Tamandua tetradactyla: one gene and its partners. The protein of the gene in region 2 purifies or fractionates together with the protein of the main gene of each other region. This does not show direct contact. Links are inferred from orthologs where the notes say so. Each region holds a gene or a part of one and is shown on either strand. Other genes may lie near its edges.

Region 1 (7,042 bases), on a different chromosome or scaffold from region 2:
CGCGGTTCTGAGTGCACCTTCTTAGGGGAGAGAATGAAGCACCCTCGGGTTTTATCAACATATGGACAGTTTTCAAGGTTGTGAGATTGTGTGGCATCACTCTGAGAACAGAGGTAGACAGAAGAGAAAAAAGGGCTGAGATATCCAGAGATCTGGTGGAGGAGGAAGGGCAGAAGGAAGAAGAGTGGAGGAAGTGGAGGGTAGCCAGGAGAAAGGGGTCTCTTGAAATTCCAGAGCAGTGTTTCAAGAAGGAGGAAGTGGGACAACTGTATCATCTGCGTCAATGCAGCTGAAAGGTTGTCTGAGACAATAACAAAACTTGACCATGGATTTGGCAAATTGGAGGTAACTGATGACCTCAATAAAAACCATTTCAGTGAAGTAGTGAGGAGGAAAGTTCTAGTGGAATGTGTTCAGAGAGAAGGTGAGGGGAGGTAGCTTGAGAAACAGTATGGTAAATGGAAAGGAATTGGGAGTGCAAGGAGGTCTGTTTCATTTAATGCACAACATGCAGATGGAAATGATCTAGTAAGGAAGGAGAAACGAACAATATTAGCAAGGGATCATATAGACACAGAACTATAGAACTCAGGGGACATAGCCTGAAAGGACTCCTCAGCCCCAAATATACTTAAGTGTACAGTTTTATCTTTAAAATAAATGGGACTTTTGCCTTCTCTTTCAGAATGCAGGCACAACCCACAAAACACATTCCCAATATTCCTGGACGAGTGTTTAGTGCCAAGCAGATATTTATCTCCCAATATATTATTCAGTTGATGCTTGTATAGATAAAACTTAAGAGAATATTTAAAATTAAATGGTTTGCTGGGAAAGTTTCATGTTGCATTCCAAATACAATTGGTAGAACATTCAAATCATGCTAGTCAATTTGCAAAGATTTGGAGACTCAAGAGAGAAGACATACCTCTCTGATGTTGCTGGTATAAATGAGGCCTGGCAACTGCACACAAAGCAACTGCTTATTAAAAAAACATAACGTGTTTTAGTTTGCACAAGCTGCTGGAATGCAATATGCCAGAAAAGCAATGGTTTTTAAAAAAGGAATTTATTAAGTTGAAAGTTTACAGTCTAAAGCCATAGAAATGTCTAAACAAAGGCATCCAGAAAAAGATACCCTAACTTCATTGAAAGAACAGATGAAGTTCAGGGTTTCTCCCTCAGCTAGGAAAGCACATGGTGATGTCTGCTAACTTTTTCTACTGGCTTCTTCATGCAGCTTCCCTGGGGAAAGTTTTCTTTATGCATCTCTGCCAGCACTAAAGCCTTTTCCAAAATGGTTTCCTCTTAAAAGGCTTCAGTGAGCAACCCCAGCTTGAATGGATGCAGACACATCTCCATGGAAACCACCTAAGCAAAATTTACCACCTACAATTGGGTGGACCACATGTCCATGGAAACAATAAAAAGGATCCCTCCCAGCAATACTGAATGAGGATTAAAGAACAATGGCTTTTCTGGGGTACACAATAGTTTCAAATCAGCACATAAGGCAATGAGGAAGCAATGCTTTAAACATTTCCTATCCTGACACGATATTATTTATAACATATCGTGGTGCCACACATGATTTGGGAAATTGGTTGGGGATTTTCATTGATTTGTTAGGCCTTACAATTTTTCCTACTTTAAGCAATGGGATATAGGTTCTCCTTGCCATTTTCTCTGGGAAAGTCTGATTTTTCAGGCACAGAGTACTGACCTTAATGGCAGATGACTTTCCAGGCTTGTCTTAGTTCTAACTTATTAATTACTCAGCTTGCCATTACTTAACATCTTTTCTTTCATCCCTTGTAGTAAAATGAATACTCTTGGAAGATGCACCACAGATATTGTTTTGCAAAGAATCTGGGCTGTGCACACTGCAGCTTGAGCAATATGTAGTAGCTGTAGTCATGTAGAACTTGGAGTTAATTAGAAAAATGAAATGGAGAATGGCAGAATTATCAGTGTAATCATCAATAGTTACACATTATTAGAAGTGTTTAGAAAGAGTAGGATAAAACTCTGAGACATACTGCAAGAGGGAAATGCAGGATGGGCTTGTTATCATATATACTTCAAACTACAGTGGGTGTTCCTAACATTTTTGAAAGGATCAACAGAAACTCTTGACCCTGTTCATGTGTTATTTATAGCTAAGAGATACACAACAGGATAATGAGGTGTGAGCCATACTGTGCCAGAAATGTGGCATGAGTGTGGTCACCCAAACAGGTTTGGAGGCCAATTAACTGTGCAGTGTTTCCTCAATTGTACAATTCAGTTGGACTTCCACTTTGAGTTCCCCACATTTTTTATGATAGTGGCACTGAGTAGCCTACCTAAGCAGGCCTGACCAGGGCATGAGTTTTTCTGTCAGCCTATCTCAGCCTGCAGCCAGCCAGATGTCCCAGACGTACATGGAAGGGATTTGTGTCCAGAGACATCAACCCAGAGGGATGGAGGAAAAAGTTGCTTATAATAGACAAGCTCCAATTCCCCAGTACAAGTATTTCCATTTAAGGCAGTGAATTTATGGTTCCAGAAACCCACCAGGGTGATTATGCATGGCTTCTTAAGAAACCTAAGGAACTTCCAGAAAGATCCCAGGTACTTTGGGCAGTAAAGAAAAAAGTATTTGCAAAGTCCCTTGAGACAGTGGAGGAAAAATGTTAGATTTCCCCATCTGGGGAATTCCTGATATTCTCTTAAGCATTAAGGGGTCCCAATTCAATAAGCCAAGCCCTTGATTTTGAGGCTTGCCCTTATGAAACTTATTTCTGTAATGGTAAGCTACGCCTACTTATAAACACACCCAAGAGTCACCCCAAGAGAACCTCTTTTGTTGCTCAGATGTGGCCTTTCTAAGTCAAACTCTGCAAATAAACTCACTACCCTCCCTGCTAATGGGACATGACTCCCAGGGGTATAAATCTCCCTGGCTAAATGGAACATGACTCTCAAGAATGAGCCTGGCTCTGGCATCATCGGATTGACAATGTCTTCTTGACCAAAAGGGGAAAAGAAAAAATAAAGTTTCAGTGTCTAAGAGATTTCAAATAGAGTTGAGAGGTCATGCTGGAGGTTAGTGTTACGCAAGCTTCAGCCAGTTATTGCAAATTGCCACAGTAGGCCAAGCCCCAACCAACAGTATGCCTGAAAACTCTAAAGAATACCCTAGGCTCTAAATTCCTTTTTTTTTTTCAGAATCTTAAAGCCCGCAGATAGTTTTTATGCTAGACAAGCCCTGAAATCCATAGCTACCAGTCTCTCTAAGAACATCAACCATTTCATTCCTCTATCCCGCAATGTCAACACTCCTTTTCAGCATGAAGAAGTTGGAATGGCCATTTCCAGATATTCCTGAAGATTGAGAGAACTATCAAATGAGAGGGAGGCATTGTAACCGAGAAAGGATTTAACAAATGATTATGACTACTAAGTCATTATGTAGCCATTTCTTTTTAGTTTCTAGTACATTAAAATAGCCAGAAGGAAATACCTGAAATTGTTAAATTGTAATCAGTAGCCTTGATCTTTGATGTCCCTATGACTACATAGCTTTTAGCTTATGACCATGTGAGTGCAAAAACCTTGTCACTGACACCCCCTTTATCCAGTGTAATGGTTGATGAGTAATAACACATGAAAAAAATAATAGGTTGCAAATATGTGGAAAAATACCTCTACATAAGCTATGGACAATAGTTAATATTACTTAAATCTCGCATCAATTCTAACAAATGTAACTACTGCAAAAAAAAAAAGCAATTACAAAAAAGCAGTATCATCAATTTCCAAACCAATACAAATGAAGTGGTGTATGAGAATCCTGTATTTTATACGTGATTACTCTGTAAACCCACAACGCTTTTAATTAAAGGGAAGGGGGGGAGGAGGGGACGGGAAGAGGCAGAAGAGCAGGGAGGGGAGGGAACCTAAGGAACACGTAGAAAGGTCCCAGGTACTTAGGCACTCAAGCTGCACCCACCCACAAGCTCTGCTCGCCACGTGCGCCGAGAGACCGCACTGCGCATGCCCGAGGAGGCGGGGCGGCGGGGTGGGGCGGTCCGACGACTCAGGCTAGTTAAGAGCCGTTCCGGAATCGCGGAGAGGATGGCCACCCTGCGCGGGATTCGAGAGGTGCCCCGGCACTTGCTGGTCTGCGAGAAATCCAACTTCCGCCACGAAAAGTCACGCCACCGGCACCTCGTGGAGACGCATTACCACAATTACAGGGTGAGTCGCTGACCCGGGCCTTCGGAATCCCCTCTCGATCTCCGTGGGCGGTGTGGTGGAGAGGCCACCGCGCTGGGCTGGGCGGTCCTGGGCGGGGCCGTCCTCGCGGTGCAGGCTGGGAGCCGTCGTTCCGTCGTCTCCTCGGAACCGCGTCTCGCTTGTCTGTGAAGACTACTACTCCCACGATGCCTTGGGCGTGGGGGGCGGGGCCGAGGAGCAGTGCGCGGCCTCACCCTCCCGCTCGTTGCTCAGGTCCCCACCGGCCCACGTGGAGTTGTGTTCCCCGAGATGCGAGGCGGTGGCCCGGGCGCCGGGGTAGGAGGGCGTGGTGTCGGCCGGGTGCCTCTGGTGCCCTTGCTTCATACCCCCGCCGCCGGAACGCTTATGGCTCTTTCCAGAACGTTGTGGCCAGCTCGGGCCCAGAAAGCAGCCTCTTTTTTTATCCGGGAGTCGGATTGAGATCCCAGAAACTTTCCGTTTAGCCTGCTGCGCTCTGCTTCCTCTAGCTAACATGTCATCCTCTCGGGGCGCCGTGAGGCATCAGGGAGGTGAATTATTGGCTTGTCCAGAATGTGCGGAGAGTAGAGGAGAGCGACCCAGATTTCCAAGCGAGTGTCTGGTGGGTCCTTTTCCACTAACCCGATGAAGCGGAGAGGCGGCCAAAAAGTCCACCAACCGTTAAAGAGGATAACGGTTTAAATATTTTACAGTTTAAATCGATCAATTTAATCTCTAGTGAGGCCTGACTGACCACTCAGAGACCTGAGTGGTGGCGCCCGGAACTGACTGGCGTTAGAGCTTTGGGAAAGAGCCTTTCAGCTTGTGGAGCGCTTGGGTGATGTTTGAAATCTGTCGAGTTTTAACATCCTCTCCTTTGGATGGAAAGAGCATCACAAACAGTATTGAGGGCGTGAATCCTAACACATAGGGTCTAATCTGTTGGCTTTTTCTGTTTGTGGAAAATCGAAACATGGAGGGACGCTTTACTTCCATGTAATCTTGATCATTGGACGGCCCCAAATCCTTATACCTTGAGGGTCATTGCCTTTGATTCCAGGATGCTATCAGGGTAAACAAATCAAGGAATGTGCAATTGTCCTGTATTTCCTCAAAAACGAATTAAAGTAATGAAAGGAACAGGACATAAAATACTTTGCAAAAGTTAAAATGCAAGCCATACCTTCGCGTTAAAAATTCTCTGCTCTGTCTCAATCCTATACTGTATGTTTGAATGCAGAAACAAAAACCCTGAATTGTCAAATATCTTTTTTTTCCCCTGAAATTGGTGATTTAAGAGTTTCATGCCCAGAAACCTATAAATGAGTAGTTAGCTTTCATGATGCAGTTTTTTTCCTTAAGAACCTGGGCATGACTGCATGAAAATAAGACCTTGTTTATATTATACTTTCTAATAGGTTTCATTTCTAATTCCTGAATGTGGGATACTATCAAAAGAACTTAAAAACCTGGTCATGGAAACTGGACCTTATTACTCTGTGAAGAATTTACCTCTTTATGAATTAATTACACATGAATTTATCAGCACCTTTGTAAAGAAAGGTAAGAAAACTATGCAGTGTTTGTGAACTTGGCAAAATGGAAACTACAGGTAGACCATGCCACAGTACTTGGGTTCTTCTCTTGTTTAATTCAGGCCCCTGGTGAAAGTGTATATAGCCAGATGCAGACATGACCCTACCCCCACCCCTGTATTTTCATCCTTTTGGAGAAGTTGTGGGTGTACAGAACAAATCATGCATTAAAAAAGCAATTCCCATATACCATCCTACTACTAACGCCTTGCCTTGGTGTGGTGTATTTGTTACAATTGATGGAAGCACATTTTTGTAATTGTACTATTAAGCTATAGTCAGTATTTTAATGTAAGGTTCACTGTGTAGTGCTATTTCATGGATTTTTAAAAAAATTTTTATTACTGTATTTACTACCTACTATTTCCCCTTTTAGCCACATTCAAGTATGTGTTTTGGTGCTGTTAATTATATTCACAGCATTGTGCTACCATCACCACCATCCATGACCCAAGTATTGCCATCATTTTAAGCCTTAACTCCTGTGGTGGTTTGAAGTTGTATGAATCCCAGAAAAACATGTTCTTAAATCTAATCCATTCCTTTGGGTATAAATCCATTGTAACTAGGACCTTTCGATGAGGTTACTTCAGTAAAAGCGTGACCCATCTCAATTCGAATACGTCTTGAATCCTATTACTGGAGTTCTTATAAATGGAATGAATTCATACATAAGAGAGAAAGGCATGGAAGCAAAAAGCTGAAGTCAGTGCAGCCTAAGAGAAGGGAGAGACCAGGAGACACTGCCATGTACCTTGCCACATGATGAGCTAAGGACCAACAGCCAGTGACAGCCAGGCCCAGAGTGCCACAGTGTTGGGGAGAAGGCATCACCTTGATGATGCCTTCATTTGAACATTTTCCTGGCCTCAGAACCATAAGCTAATAAATTCCCATTGTTTAAGCTGTCATTTCATGGTATTTGCTTAAGCAGCCTAGAAAACTAAAACAACTCCCTGTTCCCATCCCTGCCCTGACCTCTAGTAAACCTATAATGTAAATTCTGACTGTGATCACTTATTTCATATCAGTGGGATTATACAATATTTGTTCTTTTGTGTCTGGCTCATTTCACTCAACATCATGTCTTCAGGGTTCAACCATGTTGTCATATGTGTCAGGACTTCATTCTTTTTTATGATGTTCAGTTGTGTGTATATACCACATTTTGTTTATACATTCATCGGTTGATTGACACTTGGGTTGCT
Region 2 (5,971 bases):
ATGTTTCTTGATGATGATTGTATAATGATATAGCTTTCACAGTGTGACTGTGTGATTGTGAAAATCTTGTGTCTGATACTCCTTTTATCTACCTTTTCAACAGATTAGAGGAACATATGGAATAAAAATAAATAATAGGGGGAAAATGTTAAAATAGATTTAGTTTGAAATGCTAGTGATCAATGAAAGGGATCAGTAAGGGGTATGGCCTGTAAAACTTTTTTTTTTTCTGTTTGTTATATTTTTCTGTTGTCTTTTTATTTCTTTTTCTGAATTGATGCTAATGTTCTGGGAAATGATCATGATGATGAATATGCAACTATGTGATGATACTGTGAATTGCTGAGTGTATGTGTTGGGAATGTTTGTTTCTTGTAATTTTTTTTTAATTAATAAAATTTAAAGAAAAAATTCTTTCCAGCCTCTTGTGTTTTGGAGCAGCTAGAAGGAAAAATCTGAGATGGTGGAATGGTAGCTCATGTGAGACTTTGGGATCTGTTCTGTAAGTACTTGTTGACGTGTGCTTTGAGAATTACTGATTTTTCTCTCTTTGCTTTATATATACGTTATATTTTACAATAAAAAACATTAAAGAAAATCAATTGGTGGTACTTGTGACCATCTCTTTCTGGGTTCTATATTCAGTTCCACTGATTTTTGTGTCTAACTCTCTGCCAATACCACAATGTCTTGATTACTGTATTTATATAGTTAGTCTTAACCTCAGGTAGTGTGATTCCTTTTTTTTTTTAATTATTTTTTTATTTTTATTTTTATTTTTTTGGGGGTAGTGTGATTCCAATAACTGGATACTGCTTCTTCAAAATTGTTTTAGCTGCTCTTCTTCCTTTGCCTTTCCATATAAATTTTTTTGTTAAACTGTTTGTTATTTATATCTTTCTTACCCTACAGATATCGTGGCAAACTCTTGAGAAGTTTAAGATATACTCCCTGTCTTGAAGGCAAATGAAATCTAATTTGCAGAGAGAAAACTATTGTTCAGGAAATCAGATAATAAGGAGAATATCCATACCTGTGTACACACACGTGTACATGTGCCCCTTATTATTTGATTTGGTGTCCTAAAGGGGCTGATTTAAATTAATCCACTGAAAATGGAGGCCCAAGTTCTATATTAAATAGTAAAATAAGGTTTTATTTGATCTATCATAAATAAAATTTACTTATAGGCTAAAATTTTATGTTCAAATTGCAACAGTATACTTATTTGTAAAGAATGAATGAAGTCATAATGATGATAAATTTAGATGATAAATATTGTCTAAAGCTACAAAAATTCTTTCTGGTTTCTAAAGCAACTGCATTAAATTTAAAGACCAATGTAGGGAGTCGATATCTTTATTATCTCAGATCTTCCGATACATGAACATTTACTTAGATCTTTTTTTCATTTCTTTCATCAGCATTTTGGAGTTTTCAGCATACAGACCTCGTGCATATTTTGTTAGATGCATACCCTATTATTTTTGTTTTCAATTTTATTTTGCTCTTCTTTTAATTATTTCCTTTATTATTTTCTACTAGTTTCTTGAAGGTGGAAGTTTAAATTATGCTCATTCTATGTTTTTAATACTGTTTAGCGTTTCTAGAATGCACTTTCATTTCTAGGTCCCTGAAGAACTCCTATTTATCTGCCAAAACCTAGATCAGATATCACTTCTGAGGTACATAGGAATGTAAATTCTGGAGCCTGCCTTTTGTTAGACACTAAAGCATAGGGGGGTGTTTCTTTTCGTTTTTTTTTTTTCTTTTTTTCTTGGAGTATTTCTTGTAAATGCTTTTTTAAATTATTTTTTTATTTTTTATTTCATTTTCCAATTATTCACTGCTTACATATGGAAATACAATTTTGTATGTTGCTTTACTTCCCTACAGACTTGCTAAATGCACTTATAAGTTCTAGGATTTTGGGGTAGATTCCTTGGGATATTTTTGAATACTGTCAAGCCATCTTCAAGTAGAGTCAGTTTTACTTCTTCCTTTCCAAGCTGTATCCTTTTCTTGCTTTATTAAACTGGCCAGGACTCCCGATAAGAGTAGTAAGAGAAGACATCCTTACTTTGTTCCTGATTTTAACAGAAAAACTTGGCTTTCACCTTAAATATCATGTTAACGGTAGAATTTTGTATATGTTATTGATCATATTTCTTGTTTTCTGAGACGTTTCTTTTTTGTTTTGTTTGTTTTTTAAATCATGAATGGATGTTGAATTCCATTAAATGCCTTTACTCCATCAATTGATAAGATCATGTGGTTTTCTTTGTTAGCCTATTAATATGATTGATAACGTTAATTTGTTTTTCTTCTGCTGAACCAGTCTTGCATTCCCGGGCCCAACTTGGTCATGGTATATAATCCTTATTATGTATTATTGGAGCATTACCAGTCTACGGTTTTCTTCTTTTGTATAGTTTTTGTCAGTTTTTGGTATTAATGGTGAAACTGGCCTCTTAAATGAGTTATAAAGTGTTTCTTCTTCCATTTTCAGGATGAAATTTTGTAGAATCTTCTTTAAATGTTTGGTAAAATTCATCAGTGAAGCCAACTGAGCCTAGATATTTATTTTCTAAGGCTTTTAACTAGGTATTTAATTGTTTTACTAGTATAGGACTATTTAGATTATCTCTTTCATCTTGGGTGAGTTTTGCTAGTCTGAGGTTTTCTAGGAATTAGTACATTTCATCTAAGTTGTCAAATTCACGTGCGTAGCATTGTTTGTGGTCTTCCCTTAGTAGGCAGTATTCACTCATACTGAGTATGAGTGCCCTCTCATTAGTGCCATTAGTTTTTTTATTTCTGGTCATCATAATTGTGTCTTTCTCTTGCTTTCTTTCTTTGTCAGTCTTGCTAGATTTTATCAATCTTATTGATCTTTTCGGTGAACTAGCTTCTGGTTTAATTGATTTTCCTTATTGTTTTTGTTTTCAATTTTGTTTATTTTGCTCTTATTTTAATTATTTCCTTCTAGTTTCTTGAGGCAGAAGTTTAAATTATGCTTCCTTCTGTTTTTAATACTGTTCAGCATTTCTAGAATGCACTTTTAGTTCTAGGTTCCCTGAAGAATTCCTATTTATCTGCCAAAACCTAGATCAGATAACACTTCTGAGTTAGGAATGTAAGCTCTGGAGCCAGCCTTTCCTCCCTGCCCTCTATGGCATAAACCCCAAGCTTGGGGTTAAACAAAGAATCTGAGGCAAAGGAGAACTACAGGATTGAAATCGGGCTCAGAGAAAAGTTCTTAGAAAACCGATCTCTTCTTTTCAACCCCAGGCAACCAGAAAGAGGCCCAAGGGGCATAAATATGCCAACTCCCGTGTGTAGGCCTACGGTTTTCAGATTGACAGTTTCCAGTACAATCTAGTTTTAGGAGTTATCACCCTTTTGGGTAATGGAGAAATTCAAGCGGCAAGTTCAAGGTCTCCAATGCAGGTCTAACGCTTTATCCGTGCTCTGTCTGCCGGGAACGCTCCAGAAGCTACACAGCCCTAGGCAGAGATCCCCCTCCTCCCTCCCCGGGTGGGAAACTCCTCCCCAGTGGTCTTGGGGTCCCCGGAACCCTGCGCGGGTAGCCACCCCACCCTGCCCGCCAGGGGGCGCGCGTTTCTACTCTCGGGTTCCAAGCAGCCGGGGAAGAGCTGGCGGGCTGGGGCTGAGGGGTGTGGGTGGGTCACCGTGCCCTGGGGGAGCAGACCTGGTACCCCAAGCGCGAGTGCTACATCAGAGCGAAGGCTGGACTTACTGCTCATGGGTTGGGCCCGTAAGGAGGGAGGGACGGGTCCCGGGGCGCTGTCCTCGCCGAGGTGCAGACCGACCTGGGCCCTCAATTCCTCCCTCCGTCTTTGGACTACGGGGCCACCTGGGGCGGGAGGTCCGTTCTGCCCACTCTGCCCACGCCTTGCTAGCCGGACGGACGGCGATGGACGCGGGAGCCCCAACTTGCCTTCAGGCCCTTTTGGGATGTCGTTCTCCTGCATTCACCCTCAACCCCTCCCTGCTATCCTTGGGAAGACCCCCCACCCTCCGCGCCACTCGAAGGGCCTCTCCTCCTCCCCCGAGTAAGGATCCCTGCGGGGGCCGGGAACATGGACTCGCCGGAGCTGGGAGGAGCTAGCTCCTCCCCTGCAGGGACTTGGTATGCTCCTCCTCTCTCTTCGCCCCGCCTCCGGGGCGCCCACGTGGTAGGTCCCCTCACCGCCGGAAGCATCGCGTTACTCAAACCCCTCGCGGGGTCACGCGGTCGCTGAGGAAAGGGGCGGGGAAGACCGAGCGGGGAAGGCGATTCGTGGATCGCGCGGTCCTGGCCGCAGTGGGGCGTGGCGGTGGGGGCGCGCCTGCGCATTTCTGCAGCCTTTGCGGGAGCTCGGCGCCGGCGAGCCGCCTGCGATCTGACGTATCTGTGGCGCGCCCCTTTTTTTCTCTTCTTGTTTTCGAGTCTGGGGGTGGCGGACAAAGCCCTCCTCTTGGGCCGGCCGGCGCAGCCCTTCCGAGGCCTGTCTGGGGCGCGTGGAGGGCCCTGTGGAACGGAGAGAGTAGGCGCGGAAGAGCCGGGGCGGGGGCGCGTGGGAGGGGCCTGAGGTTGGGGGAACATGCATTTGGGGGAGATGCGACGAGGAAGAACTAGCGGGGAGGGGCACGCGGGAGCTTGAGGGAGTGAGGGGAGCGGTGAGAGGCTGGAAGGAGGAACGTCGTATGCGCCCCCTCCCAGGTGCATCCTTTGGAAATGGGGTGGGCAAGGATGTGAAGTTCTTCTGACCCTTCTCTGACCCCACCTCTTTCCCAAGCCGGGGCCCCCAGCATGGCAGAAAACCGAGTGCCCCGCGGGACGGTCGAAGTTGAACTGGACCCGGTGGAGTACACCCTTCGGAAGCGGCTTCCCCACCGCCTGCCCCGGAGGCCCAATGACATCTACGTCAACATGAAGACCGACTTCAAGGCCCAGCTGGCCCGCTGCCAGAAGCTGCTAGACGGAGGGGCGCGGGGGCAGAACGCTTGCACGGAGATCTACATTCACGGCCTGGGCCTGGCCATCAACCGCGCCATCAACATTGCGCTGCAGCTGCAGGCGGGCAGCTTCGGGGCCCTGCAGGTGGCTGCCAACACCTCCACCGTGGAGCTCGTCGACGAGCTGGAACCAGAGACTGATGCACGCGAGCCGCTGACCCGCATCCGCAACAACTCTGCCATCCATATCCGTGTCTTCAGGGTCACACCCAAGTAATTGAAATGAGGCTGGACTGTCGTGGACCTCTGCCAGAGCCGTGTAAGGAAAACGCCTGGCCCCTCTCACCCCAGAGGACTCCAAAATGAGGAGGAGGGTGTTGCTTCTTGTTGGATCCCAGCAGTGGGTTTTCCGGAGTCTGTGTGTGGTCTGGAACCATTGCCCTTTGCAATAAAAAGTGCTAACTTGTTAGTGTCCTGCCACCTCACTGCCAGTGTCTCTTCTCTGTGTATACCTGGAGAGGAGGGAGGGTAGGAGACGCAAAGTATTTAGCTACAGGAGGGGGTACCTGAATGTTTTCTGCCTTCACAGACAGTGTAGATCATCCTAGGGTCTGGGTAACCTTAAATGGTCTAGGGCACTGCAGAGGTTGACAGTCCCAGCGTTTGCTTTAAAATTTCTCATTCTTAGAGGAAGGCTGGGCAGATAAGCATCCACTCTTGCCCCATAAAATGCAACAGTGACAGTTGTATGCTTGGGAAGCCTCCCACTGCTCCTCTGGTGACACCAAAAATGGGAGGGCTTGAGGATGAAGGAAGCACATATAACACCCTAAGGGCCTTCTTTGTCTCAGGCTCGGTGAGAGGTGAACTGGGAACTAAATGAACTGAACTGGGAACTAAATGAACTGACGAATAACCCTAACTCCTTCATTCGCTTAGCTGGGCCACCAGGGCTGCTCCTGAGCAGCTGGGGGCTGGGAAGGGTCAGGCCCTCCTGGCTGGGCCACTG
Region 3 (7,623 bases), on a different chromosome or scaffold from region 2:
CAAATGGTGCTAGGAAAATTGGATTTCTCCATTACAAGAATGAAGTTGGATCGCCACCTCACACAATATACAAAAATTAACTCGAAATGGACCAATAACTTAAATATAAGAGCTAAACCCATAATATTCTTAGAAGAAAATATAGGGAAAAACCTTCATAACAATACATTTGGCAATCAATTCTCAGATAAGACACCAAAGACAAAAGCAACAAAAGAAAAACATAAATTGGACTTCACCAAAATTAGATACTGTTGTGCAACAAAGCATATTATCAAGAAAGTGAAAAGACAGCCTACACAATGAACACAATAATTATAAATTATATATAATAAGGGATCAATATCCAGAATATATAATAAGCCTAGTTAAAAAATTACCAAAGGACTAGAATAACAACTCTCCAAAGATGATATACAATTTGTCAATAAGCACATGAAATAGAAGCTCAACATCATTAGCCTTCAGGGAAATGCAAATCAAACAAAGTAAGATGTCACATCACACTAAAGGGATGGCTACTATTTTAAAAAGCAGAAAATAACAAGTGTTGGCTAGACTATTAGAAACTGGAATCTTTATCCATTGCTGGTCGGGAGGTAAAACCGTACAGCCACTATGGAAAACAGTTTGGTGGTTTCTCAAAAAGTTAAACATAAAATTACCATATGACCTGGCAACTACACTCCCTAGGTATATATCCAAAAGAACTGAAAACGGACTTGAAGAGATATTTGTACACCAGTGTTCAAAGCAGGATTATGCACAATAGCCAAAAGATAGAAACAACCCAAGTGTCCAACAAAAAGATGAACAGATAAATACAATGTATTATATCCATATATAATGGAATGTTACCCAGCCACAAAAAGAAATTCTGATACATGCACTACAACATGGACAGACCTACAAAACATCATGCTAAGTGAAATAAATAAGACACAAAGGACAAATAAGTGATTCCACTTATATAAATCTCTAGAATGAGCAAATTTAGAGAGAGAAAATAATACCAGAGCTGAGAGTGGAGGGTGGGAATGTGGTGAGGTGTTACTGCTTAGTGGGTACAGAGTTTCTGTTTGAGGTGATGAATCAAGTTTTGGTAATGGACAGTGGTACACATTGTAAATGTAATTAATGCCACTGAACTGTACACTAAAAATGGTTAAAATGGCAACTATGTATATAACTACAAAAAATTTTAATTAAAAAAAAGCTTAGGTCTAAAAAATAATTGGCAAGATGCTTACTGGGGAAAACATTATAATCCACCAGCCTAGGGAGTATATTCTACTTATCCTTCCCAGAGTCAACTGTATGTATCCTTTTCTTCCCCTTAATTTTCTCCCTCTCCTTCCTGGGGCTCAGCTGAGTACCATACGGGCCCACTTGGCAAAACTAAAGGAAGTGAAACAAGCCGTCCCTGGGGAAGCCTAGGGTTTGGAACTATCCCTATTTTCAGGAAACCAGAGGACTCCTATTGCCTCACTCCAGCTCATTTCTTCTCTCAGCTGGGCCTCCTCTTCCTGTTGGCCCACACAGGATTAAGTTCTCTCCAGTTAAATTCCACTCACTAGACTGGGTACTGCTGAAGAGCAAGTTTATCTGTGAAGTGTCAAAATTTATAAAGCACTATCCCCGGGTATTGTAAATAAGATTCTCAAAACATTCCTGTATAACCATCAATGTGTGAAAAGACTCACGTTAAATACCTTGTCCAAAGTCACAACTAGTTTTCCAAATCCAAATTTTATGCTCTTTTAACCCAGGCTGCATCTCAGAAATCATCTGCAGCTTTAAAAAGCCTACAGTTGGTTGGTGACACCCATCCCTACCCCGCCTGGAGCGCCACTCACACACTTACCTCCATGACCACCTTTCATATTTTAACAAATGTTTAGGGATTCCCCACAATGCACCTGGCCATAAAGATTGAGTATTAAACACGGTAAAAACAATCACTGGCCTCCTTGGGCTTACATTCTATAAGGAAAATTTATCAAACAGGTAATAATAATAATAAACGTGGTACCATTAAGATCAGGGAACTACAGGATGCTAAGGGAACATACAGCAGAGGCCTAACTTTGTTGAGGGGGTCTAGGAAAACCTCCTGGAGGAAGTGACTTTTTCATCGACCTATGAAGAATACCTACCAAAGGCGGTATAAGTAGAAAAGGGTGGTTCCAGTAAAGAGCATAAAGGAAATGAAATAAGCTCAGCGTCGCTGCAGCAGCGACTTCTCGAAGAGGAGTGGTAAAATGAGAGTCAAGACAGGACAGTAAGAACCAGATGGTGAAGGCCCTTGCAAACCTTGCAGCGGGGAACTACTAAAACGCTTAAAAGCTTAAGAGAGGCTGTATTAGAACGGCGTTACAGAAAGATCTTAGGGGATTCGGAGCAAGGCTGTGAGAATGAATTCAGCAGTGACTCCCGCACGGTCTAGGGAAGAAATGACGATACCCTGCCCTGGACTCGCCGTAGAGGGGAAAACGAACAAAACACGCTCCCTGCAAAAATTAGAAAATAAAACCTACGCGATGTGGAGACCGCCTGGGGGTATAACCTGGGCAAGACTCAGGACAAGTCCGGGTTTGTAAATGCGGTCACGGTGGGTTCAGTTTCCTCGGTAGGTTCACTCCTGCGGCCACCGCACCTGGCACCTTTGCTCTCATGCGGGAGCCTGTGAGGCACTGTGGGCCACTCGGGTATTTCTAGAGCTCTATCCACGCTCCCGGCTCGTAGACCGCGCACAGCCCACCCGTCCGGGAGGAAGTCGCGGTCCTACCGCCGCGGAGGCCACGTGTCATCTGGCTGCGCCTCGGCGTGAGTCACAGGGAAACCCGACCCGCCGCTCCCTCTGCCCCCAAGCCTCACTCCCCGACCCGGACTCACGCTCGGGCCCCGCAACAGTCCTGCGTACGCCCTACAGAGCGAGACGAATGCGCAAACCTCAAGGCCTGCGCGAGCAAAGGACCCTCCAAGCAGCGCCCTAAGCGCCAGTGCGCAGGCGCGAGGCGTGTTTCGCGACACCCTGCTGTTGCCACGGCCAATCTCGCGAGACATGCCTCGTTACCAAGGCCTGTTTCGGCTACCCTGAGGTTACCGCGGTGACTTTGGGATCTCGGTCCCCGCTGCCGGGTGGGTTGTACCAGATGGTTTCCGGGAAGCTACTTCTCCCTTGGCGCGTGTGCGCCCCCTGGCCCCCCCGAGATAAACCCAGCGCCTTGGAGGCTTGGCCCTCGGTCTCTTTTCTCTGGGTTTGTCTCGCCTACCGAACGTAAAACCCCAGCCTGGTTGCAGAACCCCTATCAAATCGTGCCGAATCCCCAGCACCATGAAAATCAAGATAGACGGAGAGAGTTGTTTTAGGCAGTAGTCTAAGAAACTGAGAGCCCCTTTAGCTGCTCTGAGCTCTGAAACTGTAGTGGGGATCCTCTTCCTGCTGAGGATGCTCCAAGCAGCGGACATCTAATCCTCAAGAGCAAGAGTCTCTGGGAAGCCTCAGGCGTGTGGTGAGGAAGCCCAGTGGCATGCCAAGCCCTCTGATCTGAACTACATGGTCTCTCCTGAGAGCAAGAACTCAGGAGACAGGAGGTTGCGCCTAACTTAGTGAGCCTTTTCCCACTCCACCCCTTGTTTTTCTTGTCCAGTCTAACTTGGGCATCCTTTCTTTTCCTCTTGTAAATATCTTCCCCCTCTCCTCAATTGCTTCATTGCTTGATTGGTTACCATTTAGGGGATCTGTTTTCTATATTTTCCATTTTCAACTCCTACATAGTAAGTAACTGGCCATAAAGTAAACAAAACAAAATGAAAAATTGTTCTTTTGGTCAAAGACCTTTGCAGGAGACACAGGGTAAAGTGTAATGTGATTTTTAACACAATTAGAAAGATTAACAAAAACGAATTTACAAGGAATTTATGTAGCGCAACAGGCTTTTGTTTCACAAAATGAATCATCTTAATCCGTGGTTGTGATGAATTGCAAACTATGCAATCCTAAAGCAGCCTTAGGGCAGGTGTTTAAGCTGTAAGGAAATAGTACAGGCCTAACTGAAATACCACTATAAGAGGAGGGATATATGTGAATTCCCACCCCCACCCCCAAATTCAAGATTTATAGTTTGAGCATCATCTTAGCTTATATTTGCTGCATGAAGATTACCAACTCTTACATTACATAGATGCCTTCATTGAAACCTAACTTCATCAGGACTAGTCAAATGACCCTGGATGCCATAATAGCTACCTAGGAAGTGATTAAAATATACCTGATTAGAAGTGGTAATCTGTGTTAAGATGCTTAACAGCACTGGCACATAGAATGTGCTTGACAAATATAGCTGTGAGGAATCCAGTGGCAACCTTGGAAGAATTAAGTAAAAAACTCACCATGGCCTCAGAGATAGGATTGTGGGAAGATGACAGAGTATGGAGAGCCAGGACTCAGTCCTAACACCAAATCAACTATAAAAGTCAGGAATTGTATGAAGAAATTATTTTGGAACTCCAGAGGTAAGAAGAACAAAATACACCATCCAGGGAAGAGTGAGAGGAAGGAGCTGATAAATTACGGTAAAGAACAGTAAATTGTTCTCTCCAAGTGATGGCTCCTGGAGCCCCATCCCCCACCCTCACAGCAGACCACTGTGGGGTCTGGGCCGTAGCTAGCTAGCTGGTGTCACAAGGACATAAAACTCTTGCCCAAGACCAGGTGTGGGCATGGCCAATCATGGTTTTTTATTAGCGAATTTGAGTCACTAGGGACTCGGTTCTGAGGGCAGCCATTTTTCAACTAGTGATGGGCAAAACTTATGCTGTGCATCCTCAACCCTTCAACCAAAAGGATTGCATTCGTTGGGCAGGCCAGGAAAGCTCAGCTTTTGGGAGCCATTGGAGAAGTTCTTGGCACCCCTCCTTAGAGCACTTTTACACCCTCTTTGTGTGTCCCTGGTCCTGTTTTGCTGGTAAAAACTGACTTGGGAAAATACTCTTCAGGATGCCCCTCCTCCCAGAATTTATCCTCCAGGCTAAAGCAGCTTAAGACAAGGGATGCAGTGTAAGAAACTATGCAGTCAAACACTCTTGGGCAAAGGCCTGTTGGCTTCAAACACCCAGGAGAGGGAGGTCTGTCTCCTGAGAAGCAGAGGGACAACCAAACTCCTACATGTAAACAAGGAAACTCCAAAACAGCTAACAAGCAAACACCCAGGACAAGACAGAAGGCCAGAAAAAGAAAACCCTGACCACTGAATTTGTCTTGGGCAGACCTACCAGATAGGAAGGGAGGAGCTCAAGAAAATCTCAGTCTTTTCAACAGCTAGTTACAAAATCAAGAAACAGCATCTCAGGGAATAAATCCCAGAGTTAACATTTTAAAATATTAATAGGTACAGTGTGCGGGAAAAAAAGTACAAGACAAAGAAACAGGAAATGATGGCCCATCCAAAGGAAGAGGATAAAAACCCAGAAAACATCAATGAAGAAATGAGAATGTGCACATATCAAACAAAGCTTTTTAAAAAATGATCCTAAAAATGCTCAAGAGGTTGGGCAATGGTGTCACAGTGGCAGAGTTCTTGCCTTCCATGCCGGAGAGCCGGGTTCAATAGCTGGTACCTGCCCATGCTCCCCCCTGCCACCCCCAAAAAAAGATGCTCAAGAAAATGAAAAAAATATAAAGAGCTAAAGGATATCAGGAAAGCAATGAATAAGTAAAATGAGAGTCTTATTAAAGAGGTAGAACTTTTTAAAAAGAGCCAGACAGAACTACTGGAATTGAGACCACAATAACTGAAATGAAAAATGTCCAGTAGGGTTTCAAGAGCTGTTTGGAGCTGACAGAAGAAGGAATTGGTGAACTCAGAGAAAAGAACTTGAAATGATCAGACTGAGGATCAGAAAGAAAAATGAATTATTAAAAGTGAAAATAGTCTGAGAAACTTCTGGGACACCATTAAGCGCACCAATACATGCATTATGCAATAAATGCAATATATCTCCCAGAAGAAGAAAGAAAGGAGCAGAAGGAATATTCAAAGAAATAATGACAGAGAACTTCCCAAACTTAGCACATCTGAAAAGTCCAGAGATCACCAAGCAGGATAAACCTGAAGAAAAAAATCACCATCATATATTGACCACTGAATTGAAAACAAAGGAGGAGAGAGTTCTAAAAGCTACAAGAGAAAAGCAACATATTATGTACAGGGAGTCCCAATTATATTGAATATACTTTTCTCACCAGAAAATATGGAGGCAACAAGGCAGTAGGTTTAAAAACTTAAAGAGCAGAAAGAAAACAACTGCCTTGTCAAGAATTATATACTTAGACTTCCTGGAAGATGGCAACTTAGTAAGACGCGCGGATCTTAGTTTCTTCTCCAGGACAGCTACTAGGGGAGTAGAAACGATACAGAAAGCGCCCAAAGCCACAACAGAGATAAAAAAGACAGCGTACCCCATCCTGGAATGGCTGGCTGGCTGAGAGAAGCCGCTCGGGTGAGATTGCCGAGGCGCGCGGGCCTCACCGGGCGGGGCGGCAAGCGGCCGGAGTTACTCCCTTCCCCCTTCCCAGGCCGGCTGGGAGAATTGGAGAGGCAGTCCCCTGAAACCAAGGCGGCTGGCGCCCACACCACGCGCAGCCCCCTGGACCAACTGAGAGAATTGGATCGGAAATCCTCAGGCCGCGGAGAACGGTGACGGGTGGGGAGGCCCCTTCCAAACCTGTGACTCCCGGGGAACGTGCACTCTCTCGGGCGGGCCGCTGCCGCTGGCGCCCTCCCGCCACGCTTGTCACCCAGGGCCGACTAGGAAATTCGGAGGGGCTCTTTCCCGGGCTGCGGCGACCAGCAACCCTCCCTGCGTTCGGACCCTGGGCCGGCTCAAGCCGCTTCGGCTAGCGAACCCCCCGGACGGCGAGAGGTTTCCAAAGTTTAAGGTCCCACAGCACCTTTTACTGGTGGGACCCGCAGACAAACGTGTGCCACGAGCGCCACCTACTGGGCAGAATAAGAAAAACAGAACCCAGAGATTTCACAGAAAAATCTTCCAAACTTTTGGATCCAATACCCAGGGAAATCTGTCTAAATGCGCAGACGCCAACAGAAGATAACGGATCACGCTCAAATAATTGAAAATATGGCCCAGTCAAAGGAACAAACCAATAGTTCAAATGAGATACAGGAGCTGAGACAACTAATGCTAAATATACGAACAGAAATGGAAAACCTCGTCAAAAACGAAATCGATAAATTGAGGGAGGACATGAAGAAGACATGGGCTGAACATAAATAAGAAATAGAAAAACTGAAAAAACAAATCACAGAACTTATGGAAGTGAAGGACAAAGTAGAAAAGATAGAAAAAACAATGGATACCTACAATGATAGATTCAAAGAGACAGAAGATAGAATTAGTGATTTGGAGGATGGAACATCTGAATTCCAAAAAGAAACAGAAACTATCGGGAAAAGAATGGAAAAATTTGAACAGGGTATCAGGGAACTCAAGGACAATATGAACCGCACAAATATACATGTTGTGGGTGTCCCAGAAGGAGAAGAGAAGGGAAAAGGAGGAGAAAAACTAATGGAAGAAATTTTCACTGAAAATTTCCCA
Region 4 (7,936 bases), on a different chromosome or scaffold from region 2:
GAAGTGTTCAGAACCACTGACCCCAGAAAGGTCTTGGGAGACAGCTGACAGTTAAGTCTCTGGGTGTCAGCCGGGCTTGCACTTGAGATCAGAGTACTCCTTGCACTTCCCTCACAATTGACAGGGGCCAGCTGCTGAAACAATAGAGGCCTTGTGTGAGCCCAACCTCACCTCCTGCTCTTGAGATTCAGCTGAAATGACTGAGTGGCACTTACTTTTCCCTCTTGGCATGAGTGAAGTAGCTTCTTCAGAGTCGCCCAATTAAAGGAAAGAGAAAAGTTCTTGCTTTGAGATGCCGCCTGGGGAAAGGGGTAAATTCAAAAAAACAAACAAATACAAAAAGCTACCCTGAGCTACTTACTTAAGATTTTTGCAGAAAGCAACCATATTTTAATGGTTTCTATCCTGATCGTGGAGGTGGTATGATTTAAGGGTTAAGAGCATGGACTCTTGGAACACATTTTTTGACCACCTACTTTCTTTTGCTGAAGATACATACCCTCTTAGCAAGGGAAATTGCGTGAGAGGGATTTAATAAGGAAGACTTTCTTAACAGAGGGAGGGGAGAGTGTTGCTAGTTGCAGCATGACTGAGGAAAGCTCTAGAACTGCCTTTGCTAAGGATATCTAAGGTAATTGCCATCTGTGTGAGAGGTTTCTGCCCTGTGTGAAGATAGGTCTAGTGATGACAGAGCCTCCTACTATCCTTTTCAAGGATAGATTCCCATGATTATGGCCTCTGCTTTCTGTAGTTGAATGTTTTGGGGGAGGTATATTGTTTTTGAGGCTGTCTTCCTTCTTTTTACTGCAGTACCTCAGCTGCAAGATTAGTTTCAAGGTAGTTAGGTTGAGGTGGTGGGGATGTAAGGGTATGGGAGGAGTAAGACTGGTAGTATGATCAAGAGAAAGAAAAACAGTCACCACCCTCTAATTCCTGATATTGGTAACTATTGTTTTTGTTGGTGTTCTAGTTTGCTAGCTGCCAGAATACAATATACCACAAACGGAATGGTTTTTAAAAGGGGAATTAAATAAGTTGCTAGTTTACAGTTCTAAAGCCCAGAATATGTCCCAATTACAAGTCTATAGAAATGTCCAATCAACGGCATCCGGGGAAAGATACCTTGGTTCAAGAAGGCTGATGAAGTTCAGAGTTTCTCTCTCAAGTGAGAAGGCACATGGCAAACACAGTCACAGTTTCTCTCTTGGCTGAAAGGGCAAACAGCAAGCAAGGCAACATTGCTAGCTATCTCTCTTGGCTTCCTGTTTCATGGAGCTCCCTGGGAGGCTTTTTCCTTTTTCATCCCCAAAGTTTGCTGGCTAATGGGTTCTCTGCTTCTCGTGGCTCTGTCATTCTTCTCTGGCTCTCTCTGAATCTCCTTCATTCTCCAAAATGTTTCCTCTTTTAAAGGACTTCAGAAACTAATCAAGACCCACCTGAATGGGTGGAGACATGTTGTTATGTAATCCACTTTAACAACCACTCTCGATTAAATCACATCTCCAGGGAGATGATCTGATTACAGCCTCAAATGTACAGCATTGAATAGGGATTAGGAGAAATGGCTGCCTTTACAAAATGGGATTAGGATTAAAATACGGTTTTCTGGGGTACATAATTTCAAACCAGCACAATTGGGAACATTTTGTTTTGTACATCTTGTTTGCAGAGGCATTGCAGCAGGTTGTTTCGGTTTGCTAAGACTGCTAGAATGCAATATACCAAAAATTGGTTGGCTTTTATAGTGGTGTTCTATTAGTTTTGCAAATTTACACTTCTAAAGCTATGAAAATGTCCAAATTAAGGCATCAAGAGGAAGGCTGCTGGCATTGGGGTTTCTCTGTCACATGGGAAGGCAGATGGCCAGCATCTATTGGTCCTTCACTACTGGGTTTTGTTGCTTTCAGGTCCTGGTTCCAATGGCCTCCTCCCTATGTTTCAGTGGGTTCTCTCTTAGCATTTCTGGGGCATTTCTCTCTAAGCTCTCTCTCTCTCTCACTGTTTCTTTCTCTGAATTCTCTGAGTTCTGTCTTTTATCCTCAGAAAGGAGTCCAGTAAAGGATTAAAACACAACTTGAATTGGGTGAGTTACATTTCAATTGTAACAATCTAATCATAAGGTCCCACCCATAATAGGTCTGCCCTCACAGGAATAGATGAAAAGAAACTGAACTTTTCTGGGGTACATAGCTTCAAATCAGCACATAGGTGAACTATGTACCCCAACAACATGTGTTCTTAATCTTAATCCACTTCCCTGTGGGGGGTCAATCCCTTATAAACAGTATCTTTGAATATATTAGGATGAGTCAGGGTGTGGATTCATTTGTGAAGAGGACCTTTCAAAGTTCTATTCAGGTGTGATCAACTTAATAAAGGTAGACCTGTTACTGGACAAAGGCAGTGGATTCTTTTGTCCCATGTGCTCAAATGACCAATTCCTGAGACACCAGGGTTTCAAAGAGAGAAAAAGTTTATTACTAGGTGCATAGCAGGAGATCAGATGGCCTATTGGCCCAAAAATCTGTCTCTCTCAATTGCAGTAATTCTGACAGTTTCATAGTATTAAAAGATGGGCAGGTTTTAACATAATGAGTAGAATGGCCCAGACGATGTGATTAAAGGTGATTCAATTATTGAGCATGCACAGATTGATTACATGCTTAGTCACAGGGCATATGTAAGAAAATGGTGGCCTTAGTATGATGATGGCCATGATTTTTAGTATTATAATGAGGTATAGGTGGCTTATAGATTTAAAAATTTAAGATTTTAAATGGGCACATGTCAGGTGGGCCCATTTTGGTTAGATCCACTTAAGATAAATTTGGACTTGGAGTGGGTTAGTTCTGAACTGACCCAGGACCCTTCAATAATAATTAGGGGCTGTCTTAGTGGTCAAATGCCTCTAAATTGAAAAACTGGATAAATGGGTATAAGTGAAGATTAGTCACAAGGGTTTTACAATCACAAGGGCACAAGATAAAGGCTATATAGTCATTATCACAGATCAAGGCAGCTGGATTACAGATTACAACTCAAAGATTTCAGGTATTTCCCTCTGTCTACTCTACTACACCAGAAAGCAAAAAGGAACATCTACACAAGAATTCAGTAATCATAACCATCCCTTAAATCCGAATTTCTGAGCTACAGATTTTAATCCAGATCACAATAGTGAAAAAGGAGAGGAGATCGCTGTGTGACTGGAAATTAGATATACAAGCCTAAGGATTTCCAGCAGCCAGTCCCAGAACAGATTACTAGGAGAAAGCAATCCTTGCTGATATTTTGATTTTGAACTTCTGGCCTCAAAACTGAGTCAATAAATCCCTGTTGTTTAAGCCAATTTATTGTGTGGTTTATGTCAGAGCATCCTGGCAAATTAGGACAGGCAATGACAGTACAGAGTAAAAGGCTATGGACTGTATTTTCAAGAATGTCTGTATAGTAAATAAACTTGGTAAATAGTGAAGAAAGAGCAGTGGGCCAGTTTGTTTACTGTCCAGTATAATAAAGATAATTTCTCTCTCAGGAGCAAAGGTCAAGTAGGTTTGTTTGCAGCCCATTATAAAAGATTAAGGTTCTCCAAACTTGGGGTTCCTTAGTTGAGATGCCAATCCACAGTATTTACATCTACCAGGGCCACACTGTGTTATTAAGAAGGCCTTGGGGCCCAAAAGGAACCTACTTAAATTAGTTCATGACGCCATGAGTAATAAAGTTCTTGTAAACCAGGAATCTCATTTTGTTGCCAGCATCCATGAAACTGTGGCTGGCAGGCTAACTCGTTAGCTTTGCAAGCAGGGTACACTTTCAGTCTCTTAAAGCTCTTCTTACTTTTTTTTTCTTGCTAACTTAAGTAAGAAATTTATTAATTTTGTTGATCTTTCCAAAGAACCAACTCTCAGCTTTGCTAACTTTGTCTCTTATTGTGGCTATAGTTGTCAGTTGAATTATATCTACATACATTATAAATCCAGGCAGAAGTTATATTGCATGGGGAAGAGGAAGTAGCAGGAGACCTGGGTTTTAGTTAGTCCCTCCCCTTCACTACCAGACTCACTTACCTTTCCACAAGGGAGACTACAGAAAAAAAGGGAGTAAAGCTGAATGTGCCCTCAGAAGACATCCAGTCCAACTCCTTTATTTTATGACTAAGTAACTTGTCCAACTGACAATGTGGCAGAGCTGTACAGCCAACTCCTGACTTCTAGTGTTGTTTGTTCTGAGTCACACTACTCCTCCTTGAACAAACATTTTCATGTATTAGGCATTGAGTATATTTCCTATTCGGTACCCTAGTATTGATTATTGTCTACTTTCTTTCCATCCCACTTTTTTTTTTTCTGACTATTTTAAAAATGGCCCTAAAAGGTAGGGGCTTAGGGGTTGGGGCTGTGGAAGCCTGGCATCCAGCACCTACTGGCATGACCACAATCAGTAGCTGGTCTCATGGTGACGATATAAGGAAGACAGTATTATGTTCCTTATCCCGGATAATCCGGGTGTATAAGCGAGTCAGCAAGGGGCAAGGCTGAGGTTCCGGAGGAGGAGGCTTTTGTTTTTCCAGTGACCCCACCACCAGGGTAAAGGGAGGAAACTCTTTTCTATGCATGATGCCTACGTAGTCGATTTCTGCTGTGGTGACTTGGCGCCCAGGGCATCCGGCCAAAGTCTTCCTCTGAATTCTCCACTCCAGGCTTTTCCTCCGTCCAACAGAGAGATATTTCTACCTGGATTGACCTCAAAATGGTCCTTCCCACCGCTTCTGAGGGCCTATAACCCCCAGTTACGGTCTTTCCCCGCCCCTGGCTGCGCTGGCAACCCCAAGGCCGGCAGGGTCAAGCTTTTAGGGTACTGCCACGCGAGGCCTCCGGGAAGACATCCAGCCAATCCACATGAAGTATACACGAGCCCCAGCCAATCAAAGTCCGTCTTATTCCTGCCTACCGCCCGCTCTGGCCCTCTTTCCCTGCCTCTCTTCTCGGGGCTTGTTAATCGGCGGCAGTAGTTGCAGCGGCCGTCGGAGCTCAACCGACCTTGGGGACGGGCACTCCTGGCGCCTTTTGGTCTCTTTTGCTGCGGTCACTGAGAATGAGTCCCTGCGCGGCTGTGTGCCGACTCGGCGGAGATCACTGGCGCAGTTTCATCTAGCGACTGGTGAGAGAGAGGTCGGCGCGGCCCGACTGTGCGAACCAGGCTGAGGGGACTAAGCTCCTTCAGCCCGGGGGCGACGGGAGAGAATTCACTTTCTCTAGGGTGTGGGTGACGGCGGACGCCGGTGGCGCGGTGGACTGCGGGAAAGGGACGCAGCGGCGCCGAGCCTGCCGGGCTTGGCGCGGGCGGCGCAGGGCTGGCCAAGTGATCCTCCCTTAGTTAATGAATGGCCTGTTCTGAAGATGTGCTACGTTGCACGCTTGCGGGACACGCCCTCCAAGGATGTTGCGTTCCTAGTGTCTTAGTTGTCAGGTGTCACTTGCCGTTTGAGCCTTGGACTTGAAGGCATTTTTGGAGCTACCGGTGTACCGTATCCAGCCCCCCCCAACCCCTTTCTTGGGGTCACAAAGTTTTAGTCCGTTCTAGGAACTCTGTGTTTGAAAGCAGGTCATGAACTCTAAGCTAAATATGAATTAACTGTGTGAAAAGGGACAGGTCCTTTTGTTGGAGGTGGGGAATGCGGAGGGAGTAGAGACCTTTTGTTCTTGTATCAAGCAGAACTGTCAGATTAAAAAAGTTTTAGTTAAACTTTGAAATTGGTAACCGAAGCCATCCTTGATTCCTGTTTTCCAATGTAGTTCATGAAACCGGACGGATATTTTCCAGAAGCAGAGATTGATGTACCATTCTTTCTTATGTCCCTTGGGAGGGCGTTTGATATTAGAAATTTGTCAGAAATACAGAAAGAATGTGACTTTATGAATGGTAGTGTTTCTGTGCCCATAATTTGGTTGGTGCAAATTCGCGTGCTTACCTTGCCCCTTCTTGAGGATCATTCCACTCCTTTTTCTATTTTGAAATCCTTGATTTTCATTTGTCTTAGAAATAGATTTAAAAAGTTAGGGCAGAAAGGATTGTTTTCTAAAGAGAATTATTATAGATATTTGAAGAAATTTGTCAAGCCAGTTTACTTCAAGAAATAAAAAAAAGAACATACGGTTGTGTTCCATTATTGAAAAAAATTTATTTTCAACTTGTATTAAGAGCTTTCAGTATGTTAAATTAGATATAAGGAACTTAATTATATTTTTAACCCTCATTATTCTTTTGGGCCATACCATAAAGTTCAGTAGACCTTAAATGAATGTACCTGTTTTACTTTCCTAGCAAATACCATTAAATGGGTCTGGTTAAACAATGGAAATTCATTTGCTTATGGTTTTGAGGCTAAATCAAGACATCGTCAGGCTGTGGTCTACATAAAGGAACTTAATATTACTTTGTTAATTATTATAAATGATACAGAAGTTTAGTTTGCTTTCATAAATGGGTCAATAATTCTTTGTCACATGCAGAATCTGCTTGTATCCTAAGAGTTGGCACTTTTGCTATTGTAAAACAGGATACTTGACTGATAAAGTATTGAGACAAAGTTTCTGTCTCCTGTACCCAGAGAGTATCTGAGAACCATTAGAAAAAATATAATATTGATAGAGCTATTTATTAATTTCCTAATGTTGTAGATGCTTGTAGTTTAAAATTATGTAGACTGTTTTTAGGGCTTGTACAGAGAAATTAAAAAATTTTGATTATGAGTTGCTGTAATTGGTAGCATGTCTTAATTTAATATAGATACACATTTATAAGGAATTTTGATGTAAAGAGCTTTTTTTTTAAAAAACTACATATATTTTATGAGAAATATGAAGAATTATGACATTTTTCCCATCTCAAGGAGCTTAAATTTGTAAGCAAGGTACATACTTACAAGGCAGATCATGATTGCCAGTATTTTGCAGGTGAAGAAACTGAGGATCAGGGTGATTAAAGTTGACTAAGGTTTAAGATAGTGTGAACCCATCTTGTGACTACAAATATGGGTAAGATTTTCTATTACATTATTCTACTTCTCATTGAAGAGTTCCTGACATTATATTGAGATAGCAGTTTGGATTCAGAAGAATAGAATCTAGAGTACTTTATGTTGGTGTGATTTTGGATAGGCTACTTAAATTTTCACATCATTTTCCTTGTAAAATGAAGGTAATCATATTTATAGGGACAATAATGAATCTGAAATAAGGATGAAATTAGTTAATTTTTGCAAGGCATTATGCTTATCTATATCAAAGTTCCATTGATGGTAGATATTTTGTTTTTAAGGCTTAGAGAAATGATAGCCTTCTAAAGATCTGGGTGAAAAGCTTCCAAATAGGAAGAACTATAATAAAAGCGTTTTTTTTGACCTTTATACCAGTATGTCCCTTTTCATCCTTTTCTTAACATTTTTTGGATTCTTATCATAATAAATGAATTTTCTCATTTAATTTTCAGAACAACTCAGGAGACAAACAAGTGATACCCCTTTTTTACAAATGAGAGAATTGAAGCTTAGTGAAATTAAGTGTTGGGTCAGGGTCACTTAGCTGGTTAGTGGTCTAGCTAGGTTACTAGCTCAGGTGTTCTCTGAGTTCAGAGCCTGAACTTTATATATCTCCAGGCTTAACTGGAATCTTTTTCCTGAGGTCACTAGGCTATTATTACCTCATGTGATGCAGATATTTTGGTCGTGGATGTATCAGGGAATAGCATGATGATATGAGCATTGAGGAATATAAGTGAGCTCTTAACCAAGGATAAGTAGGATTTTGAGCCATTGTTGTGGGCTTAGATTAAATTGGCTAAAATGTGGCAAAACAGTAACACTTCATATTCATCATGTGTAAAACATAATTTTTCACTTTTTAATCTTTATTTATTTGTGCCTTAATTGGGT

The links.
Region 1: the proteins of POP7 (region 2) and RPP40 purify together in Homo sapiens (co-immunoprecipitation; 4 studies listed by BioGRID and IntAct, with this or other methods). This does not show direct contact. The link is inferred for Tamandua tetradactyla from reciprocal best matches to the Homo sapiens genes POP7 and RPP40.
Region 3: the proteins of POP7 (region 2) and RPP38 purify together in Homo sapiens (co-immunoprecipitation; 3 studies listed by BioGRID and IntAct, with this or other methods). This does not show direct contact. The link is inferred for Tamandua tetradactyla from reciprocal best matches to the Homo sapiens genes POP7 and RPP38.
Region 4: the proteins of POP7 (region 2) and IBTK purify together in Homo sapiens (affinity purification with mass spectrometry; 3 studies listed by BioGRID and IntAct, with this or other methods). This does not show direct contact. The link is inferred for Tamandua tetradactyla from reciprocal best matches to the Homo sapiens genes POP7 and IBTK.

Annotation. Positions count from the first base shown.
Region 1 is NC_135351.1:7,329,775-7,336,816, reverse strand, and holds the start of RPP40 (ribonuclease P protein subunit p40), read left to right. Parts: upstream 1-4,040; 5' UTR 4,041-4,119; coding exon 4,120-4,242; intron 4,243-4,472; exon of another isoform or gene 4,473-4,753; coding exon of another isoform or gene 4,754-4,861; intron 4,862-5,657; coding exon 5,658-5,802; intron 5,803-7,042. UniProt on the Homo sapiens protein: Component of ribonuclease P, a ribonucleoprotein complex that generates mature tRNA molecules by cleaving their 5'-ends. Also a component of the MRP ribonuclease complex, which cleaves pre-rRNA sequences.
Region 2 is NC_135349.1:8,780,191-8,786,161, forward strand, and holds POP7 (ribonuclease P protein subunit p20), read left to right. Parts: upstream 1-4,349; 5' UTR 4,350-4,550; intron 4,551-4,802; 5' UTR 4,803-4,816; coding exon 4,817-5,239; 3' UTR 5,240-5,447; downstream 5,448-5,971. UniProt on the Homo sapiens protein: Component of ribonuclease P, a ribonucleoprotein complex that generates mature tRNA molecules by cleaving their 5'-ends. Also a component of the MRP ribonuclease complex, which cleaves pre-rRNA sequences.
Region 3 is NC_135333.1:47,446,405-47,454,027, forward strand, and holds the start of RPP38 (ribonuclease P protein subunit p38), read right to left. Parts: upstream 3,023-7,623; 5' UTR 2,896-3,022; intron 2,878-2,895; exon of another isoform or gene 2,538-2,877; intron 1-2,537. UniProt on the Homo sapiens protein: Component of ribonuclease P, a ribonucleoprotein complex that generates mature tRNA molecules by cleaving their 5'-ends. Also a component of the MRP ribonuclease complex, which cleaves pre-rRNA sequences.
Region 4 is NC_135331.1:138,996,112-139,004,047, reverse strand, and holds the start of IBTK (inhibitor of Bruton tyrosine kinase), read left to right. Parts: upstream 1-4,930; 5' UTR 4,931-5,163; intron 5,164-7,936. UniProt on the Homo sapiens protein: Acts as an inhibitor of BTK tyrosine kinase activity, thereby playing a role in B-cell development. Down-regulates BTK kinase activity, leading to interference with BTK-mediated calcium mobilization and NF-kappa-B-driven transcription.